Linked DNA regions of Nothobranchius furzeri. The protein of the gene in region 1 interacts with the protein of each later gene in a pairwise test. Links are inferred from orthologs where the notes say so. Each region holds a gene or a part of one and is shown on either strand. Other genes may lie near its edges.

Region 1 (3,649 bases):
TTTTTTTACAGCAGCGACCCAAAACAATGTCCTGATCTCCTAACACAATGGATTCTCTGCTTCCTGATCACGTGACGTGTGACGTATGCGGATGAAGATCGGCTTTGGAGCTGAGATGTTTGTTCTCACAGTGCGGGGGCTCGTTCCGATGCCCACACCGTAAAAAAATGCAAATGATGACTTTTGTCGTCAATGGCAGTGAATGAGTTAAAATGAATCTCTTTTCCAAACCTTGAACATCAAAGCTCCACCTCAACACCTCTGCTGACACTCTGATCCCTCAACAGGAGGACTTTATTCGTGGTGCTCTGGCACAGCTAGAAGCTGAACGAGATGAGGTCAAGCAGTTACTGAAGGAAGAGCGCAGGCTCCACTTGGCGGCCCGGCAACAAGCCGCTGTGGCACTCCGGCTTGAGCAGCAACATCTAAACTACAGACCTGTTCATGAAAATGGTCAGGACCAGAATCAGGACCAGCACACCCATTGTGAACACGGCCATGAACTCCCAGGTTAGACACAATTAAAGTGGTTTGTATTGGATTTCACCAGGACTGCACCACTCTGACGAGTAAATTAATGTGACTCGCTTTTAACGTTCTGTGATTCCGTGTTAAACCCTCCAGATGGAGGCGTCCCAGTGGAGGTACATCAGGCTCTACAAGCTGCAATGGAGAAGCTTCAGCAGCGTTTCACCTCCCTGATGCAGGAGAAAGCTGATCTGAAGGAGCGGGTTGAAGAACTAGAGCACCGCTGCATTCAGCTGTCTGGAGAGACCGACACTATAGGTCAGGCTGGACATTAGCGTCATGCTGAAAATCCCTTTTAAATTTCGATTTGGTGTATATTCACCATTACTGTGTGCCTGTTTCTCCTTTAGGGGAATACATCGCCCTGTACCAGAGTCAGCGAGCCATCATGAAGCAGAAGCACCAAGAGAAGGAGCAGTACATCAGCATGCTGGCCCAGGACAAGGAAGAGATGAAGGTTGTATAGTCACTCGTGTGGATGCAGGTGTTTTTACCTGGTTGGAAAATGTTTTACTGTAAATATAATAAAATTATAATTAGCACTTAAAAAGTTAACGTGTTATCGTGAAGCAGTATCTGTGTGTACAGGAGCATCTGTTTGATTAGAAAACTCAGGCCAGACGCTTCCAAGACACAGCCAGTGTTAAGCCTGATTCATGCTTCTGCGTCAGTGCGGAGACACGCAACGCCATTATCTGTCCTTGCGGGCCTGCTGGAGAGTCCCTGCTAGGACGGATGGAGTCGAGCTCTCTTTTCTAAGCATCCATCCGTCAAGACGGAGAATGCAAGCTTGTGATTGGTCAGGGTACCGCTGTCGTCTACACCGCCGCCATTGCTCCCTCAAAAAAAAACATAAAGAGAGCCGAGGATAACTAGCGGCAGACACGAAGAAGCTTTAAGAATACCTCGTGAAAAAACTCCAAAAACATGAACGTTTAATTCCCCCGTGACTGGAGGAGTAAAAAGATATGCAGCAAGCATTTTTTTGTGGACGGAAATGACAGGAAACGTGGGTTTAGAGGTGGAGAGCCCATGAAAAGGTGGAGGAGAATGAGAGACAAATTTGTCTGTGTTAAAAAGTCTCCAAAAAACAATATAAACACACTATCTTGGACCGGATACATGACAGGATACCACAGAACAGCGCTACACCCTCTGTTGTCCTGGCGGGGAATTGCTTTCCAACACTCCCCAGGAGACGGAGAAGTATGAGGTCAAATGTCTCCGCCCGTGCGTGTCTCTCCCTTTTGGAGCTGACGGAGAAGCATGACTCAGGCTTTAGTGCCAGATTGTGTTGCTGCGTCAGAATCATCGACATATAAATATTGGACAATGGGTTTCCATAGGCACCAATAATACGTTTTTGAGCCAAAATGGGAGGTGGCCACCACCGCCATTTTGACCGTGTCACAGGTTCCGTCAAGCCCAGACAATTCCACAAAAGGGAAGAGAGGTGGAGCTGAGGGTGTGGCTGTAAGGCTGGGATCAACTGACGACACCCGGTCGAACTAGCTACAAGCTAACCTGAAGCTAACGCGGAGGTGGGAGCTAAGCTAACAGAGGTAGCAACCTAGCTACAACCGGAGTTAACTGTGCACAACACCAGAGCTTCTGAGTCAGAGATACGCTGGGCTGACCGCTGGGTAAAACCGGGTGGAACACAGAGATCTCCCGAGAGCTGCTGAAAGCCGGCAGCCCGCACAGCAGACAGAAGCCGCGATCAGACAGAGATGCGCCGAGCTGCGGGGAGGGGAGAACCGGGTGGAAAACATCGGTCTCCCGAGAGCTCCACAAGCTGATAGTCGGAACCCAGCTCCACCAACATGTTATATTTCCACCCATTTTCTAAAGTGCAACATTATGTTAAATGCACTGGGTTTTACCCTATTACATTTAAATTTCATGGTTAAACAGTACATGTTAAAATCTAAGCTCAGCTCGGCAGTGACCTAAAATACATAAATATAATTTTACTTACAGAAAAAAATGAAGTGCTGACTCCTTGGACGCTCTATTAGTGCAATTAATGCCACAGCAAGTCATTTTGTCCAACAATTGCACAAATAATATCCAAAAAAGAATACACAAACACAAAGACTAAAAATCCCGGAACAGTTTCCAGGCCAGGCCGAGGCTCTACTGAGGCTTTTCCCCAGAGCTAGCTCTGCGGTCACGTGGGTCTGATGCTCATTAATTATTCAGAATTTTAGGTCATTTAATAAACTTAAACAGAAGAGTGACTAAAAAATTCACCCCCCTCAGAGTTGTCATGATTGTAAACTAGATCTATTAAACCTAAAACATGTTTTGGTACCAGGCTGTAAACATGTTTATTTCTGCTATGAAATTGGTATTTTTAACATGGGAGTCAATGAGGATTTGCTCGCTTCTGACACCAGCCCCCAGCGGATGAGGGTGGAACTGCAATTTTTGGTACTTCCGGGTTGGGCTCAATTTTTGAGACGCATTGTGGGGGCTTGGTCAGAATGCAGGCGGTAAAAACTGCTGCCACCTAGCTGTCGGAGTTTGATTTGCACCACACAAAAAATATAGTAAATGTTTGCTTGGAAACTTCTACGTAAAAAATTGATTCACGGCTTTTAAATATCGATTAATTATCAACACGCTTAAATATCCCAATATTTACTTGTAGCAATATACAATACAGTAAATTCAGTTATGTAATTAGTGTAACAAGAGATTTTCATAACATTTTCAAAGAAATCTGGTCTCAAATTGAATGTTTTCCTTTCTTTTGCCTCTCTTTGCATTTTTCATCCCACACTTGATCGATGAAAATATATGAAAAACTAAAATGGGGAATGATACATACATTTCTACAGATGCTTGTTGTATAATATGCTGTAAACGATAATAAAGGAACATAAAACAAAAAGAAAAGTAAAATAAATTTCTAAAACATGAGAAGCATGAACTTTATCATGTTACCTACATTTATAATTTGCAATTAATTTGATAATAATCACGTATTAACTATGAAACTCATGCGATGAATTGAACATTTTATTAAATGTCTTTATTTAGATTGATACTGTGCAGCCTAAATTTCTCATTAAAGCTTGGTTTATTTTAACAGTTTTAGAATTAAATGTAGTGTTTC
Region 2 (3,749 bases), on another chromosome or scaffold:
TCTACCTGATGTTATATGAGCAGGGAGGAGAAGGCCATTTCCAGTAAAAACTTTGCACCTATTCTGTAACCAAAACCCTAATCTCTAGCTGGTTTCTGTTACGTTTACAGCTAACTCTGCAAAACGTACATTATTCAGCAATTAAAATCAAAATTCCCTTCCTTCCTGACAACAAAAACTACAAGCTGGTAGCTCTGGACCCAACAATATTAAATGTATGTCAACAGCTTTAAGCTTAGAAAAGATCACAAGCACAAAGTTTTAAAAATTAAAAAGTTTATTTGTTCAAATAAACTGAAATTAAAAAGAGGGTTGAAAAACAGACAAAATGGTATTGTAGTATACATAAAAGAAAAAGGACACACATAAGGAGATAAACTGTGTTTTTAAAACAAAACAAAACAACAGAATCATTGGAAAGGGGTCTGAATGTGTGAGTGTTTGACAGTAGCGACTACAAAATCTCTAAGCATTGCGATCAAGGCGGACGTCCACCTCTCGGCCATTGATCTTGGTTCCGTTCATCATCCTGCAGGCCTTCTCGGCACTCTCCGGGCAATCGAATCTCACTGTTCCACATCCCTTTGACTTTCCATTCTCCATTTTGATTTCTGCGTACATTACTGGACCTGCAAGAAAGAATGAGTAATGATTACATTCTGATTTAGAAACTGTTGTTAAAGTTAAGCCAGTTATTCTGAACCATTAGTTCACAGCTCAGTCACAATGCTGTGCCAAATGTTTTAGCAGCTTTTTAATTAGACAACAAAAGATGGAATTGAATCTGCAACGTCCAGACAAAAACTTTATTAATACAAATCTTACCACAAACACCAAACTTCTCCTTTAACTTTTGCCATGTCAGGTCATAGGACAGCTGCAAAATAAAAATAATCTGTCAGATGGTTTTTCAAAGCTGAAGTTCAGTTAAAGCCAGTGCCATAAATTATATAATTATATCCCCAAAACGTATTAAGATCTGGGGAATTTAAACAATGAGGTCTAGTCACTAAAGTCTAATTAACCTCTAATCCCACATTTTAGCAGGCTTTGTATACTATAAGCATCTGACCCACACTTACATTTCTCACAAATATTTGACAGCCTCCTTTGGAGCCAGAACCTCGGTCAGACAGGCCTCCACCCATGTGGCCGCCACCCCCAAAAGCACCAAAAGCACGGTTCAAGTCCATTGCTGACATGCCCAAACGGTCAAAGCCGGAGCCCATTCTGTCCAGCGACATGCTGCCTGCAGAGAAAACATCCACAAAGGGAAGAGTGGCACCAAATTAAAGAGTAGATGTGCAACTAACAATAAAACAAAACACCTCAATGGTTTTCTACCAACTCATTTTTTATGAAGTTGGATTTATGACTTGATACCATTGGGTGACATGAAGCCATTTTCTAATTGAAATGAAAATGTTTCAGTACCTAAGCCAGTGCCCATGGGTCCCATGCCACCGCTGCTCATGCCTCCACCAAAACCACCACCTGCAAGACCAAAAACAAGTTGGGGCAGATTTTAATTAATCACAATTTTAAATGTCATCATGCACACGTACTAAAACATCTCAACAAACACCAGCTTGTGTTAAAAATACAAAGGCAGTTTTTTTTTCTAAAATCAGATCATCACCTACCCATTCCTCCAAAAGAGTCCGCAAATCTGTTCAACGACATGTCGTTGTGGCCAAAGTCACGATCCATTCCACCCATTCCCGACCGAAACATTTCTAAACACACATTATAAGATAAACCTAGAAAGCTGCATTATATTACTTACAAGCCAAAAAACTACCAACTGACAATCACTTCTGTGTGAAGTGACTGAGAACTCTCACTCACCTCCCATCCTTCCAACTGAGGTCATATCTCTGCCACCAAAGCCGCCCATATTGCCCATGCCTCCAAAGCCTCCACCACTGTTCATTCCTCCACTGAGTCTGTTCATCCCACCATAACTTGAAGCATCCATACCTGCAGAAATGGGAACAAGGTGGTTTTAAAGCACAGGAGGAATTTTAGCTACAAGCCCTTTACTCTGGTGATGCAAAACCTCTAAAGGTGCCCAGATGGTTCTCTGTGTAGCTGCAGAGACCAAACATGAACAATAATGTTTATTTATTTGGCAGACGCTTTTATCCAAAGCGACTTACAATTTATAACCTACAGGGCATGTTGTGATCTGTGGGGGAAACCGGAGTACCCGGAGGAAACCCACGCATGCATGGGGAGAACACGCAACTCCACGCAGAAAGGCCTCAGCCAAGTTTCGAACCTGCGACCTTCGTGCTGCGAACCACTGCGCCACCATGCAGCCCAATGGTGCGTTCGATTTGTCCTTGGAAGTCGGAAATCTTTAGCCTGGCCTGCCAGACTCGTCCTCTGTTTAATTATCCACAGAGAACGAGTCTGGTTACTCACAGGCAGAGGAACTTGAGGGGCAGGACTAGGCAGCTCAAAAATAAGCAATCAGAAAAAAGACGGAAACGCCGGCTGTACCGCGCGGCACTGTAGTTTTTTAGCTGTAGTCAAAAATGGCGTCTGGCGACAGAGCAAACGGCTTTTTTTTTTAAGAAGAAAGGCTTTTAGCACTTCCACTTGTTCTTTTAAAGACATTCAAGTCATTTAGAACAGAGGAAAGAGATGGAGAGAACTCCGCTTCAGTCGCCGATTATGACAAACTCGGCGTTGTGGTGTGTGACGCACGCTACTCAGCACTGATTGGCTCGGTTAGAATTCTCAAGGGGTGGGGTTATTTGAATAAGAGTTTTTCCAGACCCTTTCTCTGTGCAGAATTAAACAGAGGAGGAGTCTGGCAGGCCAGGCTTGGAAATCCTGACTTCCAAATAAGAAAAAAATCTAATGATTCCTCCCCATATTTCATATCTATTGGCATGAATCTGCTAACCAACTAAGAAGCCTGCAGCATCTTTTAAACACAAGTTACTAAATAAAAAATATGAGCGGCAGCTGACCTCCAGCTCCCCCAGAGCCCATCCCTCCACCACTCAGATGGTTAGCATTGATAGGCTGCCCTCCTGGCCCAAGGCCCATGCCTATACCTCCAAGACCTCCTACAAGAAACAAAAAGAAAAAAATGTACCTTTATTATGCCAATACATTGAATTATAAAACAGATTATTTTGTAGAAAACAAAACAAAACGTACTACTATGGGGGACTAAGTTGTGTGTGGTTAAACAGGTGAGGATTTTATTACATCAAGTCAAACATGACTTTTTTCAGCATTTCTGACAGAAATCACTCACAGAAAATGAAATGGAATATTTCACATTATATGGTGCTCAAAGTGTGGGTATTGAGTTAATCTCAGGATTACTTAAAGGGGCATTATGGAAGTTTGACAGCCAAAACATGTAGAGAAATAATAAATTTCTTCTTCATACATTCTCCTGCAATGCCCTGGTCCTGTAGAATGAGCCCTGGCATTTTTACTGTGATTGCCTGTTTTTCTGTAAAATCACAGAAAAAGAGAGCTGCTCGGGTCGAGCAGGCTGCTTCATGCGCGTTCACGCTCAGGCATAGCCCTCCAAACCATTACTTGAACGTTGTTTCAGCTGTCATCAAGGACATAAATGTTACAGATACAAAATACGTCACTGGCGCTTTTTCTAGTAAGACGTCGGACTTTCATGCAGAAGACTCAGGTTTGATTCTGGATGAGAATACAGTTGTTTTAGAGTTTCTTTTTTACATTAATGGTATTTTTTTTTACAGTAAGAT
Region 3 (3,649 bases), on another chromosome or scaffold:
CTCTGCGTCTAACGGGGTGTTATTAGTGAGGTTTTGACCCATTTTGGATCCTCGCTGCTGTATACGGAAGTCTGGTGGTCCAGGTGTTTGTAGAAGGGGACATCTTTGTTTCCAGGCCGGGTTTGGGTCGAGGATCACATCTTTAGGCTCAGATGATGATGATGACCTGTAAATAGGCATTTGGACCTGAGACCTCGTTTGTCATCCACACGCCTGCTTTTAGAAATGTTTGACACATTAAACACTTTAAAGTTGGACCAGTAGTAAAATCAGCCCAAGCATGCCGGTTCTGATTTTTAGGACTAGTTATTGCACCTGATTCTGATTCATCTTTTTATTTTTAACATTTCAGGATTAACATGAGAGACCGTAAATAAGAGCTGCTGGGTTTAACTACTCCAGCGGTGTCAGATAACTGGCTTTAATGTGAAAGGTCTCTGATTCTAGAAAAGCGAGGATATAAACTCATTTATTTCTGTTGTCAAATTAAACATTTTGCTTTTTGACAACAATCGAGTTTAGCTGCTGTAATGTAACCTGATCCAAACAGCACCTCAAAGCAAGTTCTCACTGAAACCACAATAATGGCCGACGTTTTCTTGGCTTGTTTTTAGAAACGCATCGTTTGAAAACAGAGACTTGAATGTGACTTACTCTTTTTACGTCCGAGTAGAACGACGTGCTGAGGGAGCAGATCCTCACCTCGTCACCCCTCTGAGAAGCTCCGCGATGCGGGTCGAGAAACCTAAACGTGGTGAGAAAAGTGGGACCCACTCTCTTCACACCCAGAAGGAAATGGTGTCAGGTCAGTCTCGTCTTTTGTATAAAAACTTATTTTATTGTACTTTTAATGAAACTGTGTGAGTGAAATATTTTCTCAGGTCAAAACGCGTCTGCATCTCCACCTTCGAACATGGTGACATCGTGGGGAGAAGAGCGCCAGAGGGTCGTTCGACCGAAGAGGTCCGGTATCCCTGGCCAGCCGCGCAGGTAGCGGCTGCTCTCAGCAGATTACAGGGGTGTTCCTAATCTGCAGTCCTGAACTAGACTAGATCCGTTTGATTCGTTTCAGGGTTTCGAAGCGTAAAGGGACCTCGGGTTCATCAGAACCTCCATTGAAGAAGCAGAAAGAGTTGAGTTGACTTCATTAATTAAACAATGGCGGGTTCTGCTGGGAGCAGGTTATCTGCATACGTCTGCAGATGTCACCAGCGTTTGATTTTCACACCTCCAATCTCTGCTGCAGGATCCCTGCTGCACCCAAGCCCAGAGGCGGGAAGCCCGGTTCCCGCAGCAGCGAGCGGTGGAGCTCCAAGAAGTCTTGTAAGGCCCCTGAAGCCACTTCCGCTGCTCCAGAGTGAGTCCTTCACTGCTCCCACCGGTGGAACCGGTGCAGCTGCTCACCCGCCGAACCTGAAACGTCTTTGGTTCTTTCTGGCCGTTTACTGGTCCATTTTAACCCGGCTGAAGATTTGGTTTGAATCCTGTTTCTGTTGAATCATTCCCGTTTTAGTTTAGCTCAGACATTGGAGAACGATCTGGGAATGACATCAGAGCAGGTGGGATGTCATTCCCAACTCCAGGATTTGTCATTTCTGTTTTTGGCTAAGACCGTCTGAGTTGAATCACTTCCGTGTTGGTTAAATGGCACGACTCTGCCCCCTGCTGTTGTCCGCGGGGAACTTCAGTCCACTCAGACGTTAGTCGTCGAGCCGTGTTGTATTTAAACAGTTGCGTGTTTTTGTTCTGGGCTGAAATGCAGCATAACGTTTAAACTGTGTCTGAGCAGGCCCGTTACCTCTGAGCAGTTGGAGATGGAGAGAATCAGAAGTCTCCAGAACGAAGTGGCTCAGCAGCGTCGGCGAAACGAGGCCAGCTACAAGGCTGCTCTGGCCGGCAGTGAGTGGCTCGGGTCCAGGAAATGTTTCTGAAGCGTGAATGAACCCGAGTGTCTGATGATCGCTGCCGTTTCAGGGCCACCGCCGAAGAAGCTGGTCCTGGCCAGCACCGTACCGCAGGACTTCGCCTTCAGCACCGACGCTCGTGTCAAGGCCTCCTCGAACCCGGTGCAGAAGGAGGTGGATTTTGTGCGGCAACTCCGGAAGCCCTCCTCCCCGGTAAGGCGCCCGGCCCGCCTCGCTTTCAGCCGAGTCTGTAAACTGCTGGTTTCGTTTTATGTGCCGAGTTGTGCTTTCATCTTTACTGGGTCTGAAGATTTTACACAAGGCAGAACATTTAAAGCGTTTATGTTCATGCTGACGTCTTTAGGAGCTGGCTGTTGGGGTGAGAGGATGAAATCACAGATTTGGTGCAGAAAACTCACGAGATTCTTGCGTCGTCGTTTTTATGTTAAAGGCAAAAGCTCGGAGAGGCGCCACCATCCCCAAACCCTTCAACTTCTCAGGCGGTCACAAGAAAGTGCAGGAGCGTGAGGACTACGTACCGATGGCTCAGCAGGTGGAGCTGTTCCAGAGGCGGACTCCCACCCGGTACCACTTACGGAGCAGCAGGAGTCTGGAGAGAGGTGGGATGGGTTTGTAGAGCTGAATGGAACACCTCGTTGGTTTGGAGTAGGAACCAGGCCCACTGATGGGTTGTTGGTTGTTGTTTCAGGACCGTCTTCGGTGAAAAGCCAGCACCTGAAGCTCACGGAGCCTCACTCCCCCCACCTGATCACCCGCGAGCGAAGCCGACCGGTTCACGTGAAGAGCAGCGCCGAGCTGGAGGCTGAGGAGCTGGAAAAGATCCAGAAGTAAGAACCGCGTCTGCTCAGCTTGTGATGCTCGTGTTGCTTCTGGATGCTGACCAAGTCCTCCAAACACACCCACATCACCCCGCTTCTCCTCCAGCTTCACTGGCTGCCAGCCAACTTCAGGGTTCATTTCAAGATCCTGGTTCTGGTCTATAGGGCCTTACATGGACAAGCACCATCTTACATTGGTGATCTTCTTAGTCCCTACACCCCCAGCAGGTCCCTGAGGTCCAGTGATCAAAGCCTACTGGTTGTGCAGCACCAGGCTAAAGGTCAAAGGTGACAGATCATCTGCTGCTGTGGCCCCCAGACTCTGGACCTCTCTCCCCCTGAGCCTGAGATCAGTGGACTCAGTGGTCTCCTTTAAACTCACCTGTTCAGGTTTTGGTGTGACTCCATCACCTCCCTCTCCTTACTCCGCCTTTCCCGGGATCCACTGATTTCCCTCTTTCCTTACATTATTATGGTTTTATCACAAGTTATATTCCAGTTTTTTCTCATTTTAAACTTATTTTTAATCACTTTTTGAAATCTTTTCTATATTTTTTGTTTTTGCAAAGCGCCTCGTGATTTTCATCATTTTTCTCTCTCAGGGTTAAGATCAAACCTCTGGAGCTGAACAGGAAGATTCTGGAAGGTGCCGAGGAGCTGAGGAGGCCTGCGGTGAAGGAGCCCACTGTCGCTGAAGGCTTCCAGCTGGAGATCGAAAAACGGCTCCAGGAGAGGCAAATGACCAAGAACCCTCAACACGAGGAAGAACCTTACACCTTCAGGGCCAAGCCGCTTCCTAAGAAGGTTCTGGAGGAGGTCGTGGTGAGTGGACCTGGGCCTTGCTGGTTCTGGGAAGACTAGGTTTATTTTTAGTAAATCAGATATTTTCCTGTCAACAGGGAATCC

Evidence for each region. The genes of interacting proteins can lie anywhere in the genome.
Region 2: the proteins of golga2 (region 1) and myef2 interact in binary tests that used the Homo sapiens proteins (3 or more experiments, as listed by UniProt). The two-hybrid records come from large-scale screens. The link is inferred for Nothobranchius furzeri from reciprocal best matches to the Homo sapiens genes GOLGA2 and MYEF2.
Region 3: the proteins of golga2 (region 1) and tpx2 interact in binary tests that used the Homo sapiens proteins (3 or more experiments, as listed by UniProt). The two-hybrid records come from large-scale screens. The link is inferred for Nothobranchius furzeri from reciprocal best matches to the Homo sapiens genes GOLGA2 and TPX2.

What each region holds. Positions count from the first base shown.
Region 1 is NC_091746.1:54,869,331-54,872,979, reverse strand, and holds part of golga2 (golgin subfamily A member 2), read left to right. Parts: intron 1-287; coding exon 288-510; intron 511-624; coding exon 625-786; intron 787-878; coding exon 879-985; intron 986-3,649. UniProt on the Homo sapiens protein: Peripheral membrane component of the cis-Golgi stack that acts as a membrane skeleton that maintains the structure of the Golgi apparatus, and as a vesicle thether that facilitates vesicle fusion to the Golgi membrane.
Region 2 is NC_091749.1:42,880,993-42,884,741, forward strand, and holds the end of myef2 (myelin expression factor 2), read right to left. Parts: intron 3,081-3,749; coding exon 2,982-3,080; intron 1,981-2,981; coding exon 1,849-1,980; intron 1,737-1,848; coding exon 1,644-1,736; intron 1,495-1,643; coding exon 1,435-1,494; intron 1,250-1,434; coding exon 1,083-1,249; intron 878-1,082; coding exon 826-877; intron 630-825; coding exon 466-629; 3' UTR 260-465; downstream 1-259. UniProt on the Homo sapiens protein: Transcriptional repressor of the myelin basic protein gene (MBP). Binds to the proximal MB1 element 5'-TTGTCC-3' of the MBP promoter. Its binding to MB1 and function are inhibited by PURA.
Region 3 is NC_091755.1:45,540,724-45,544,372, reverse strand, and holds part of tpx2 (targeting protein for Xklp2), read left to right. Parts: intron 1-673; coding exon 674-805; intron 806-881; coding exon 882-990; intron 991-1,072; coding exon 1,073-1,132; intron 1,133-1,246; coding exon 1,247-1,357; intron 1,358-1,789; coding exon 1,790-1,899; intron 1,900-1,974; coding exon 1,975-2,117; intron 2,118-2,355; coding exon 2,356-2,524; intron 2,525-2,613; coding exon 2,614-2,752; intron 2,753-3,345; coding exon 3,346-3,565; intron 3,566-3,642; coding exon 3,643-3,649. UniProt on the Homo sapiens protein: Spindle assembly factor required for normal assembly of mitotic spindles. Required for normal assembly of microtubules during apoptosis. Required for chromatin and/or kinetochore dependent microtubule nucleation.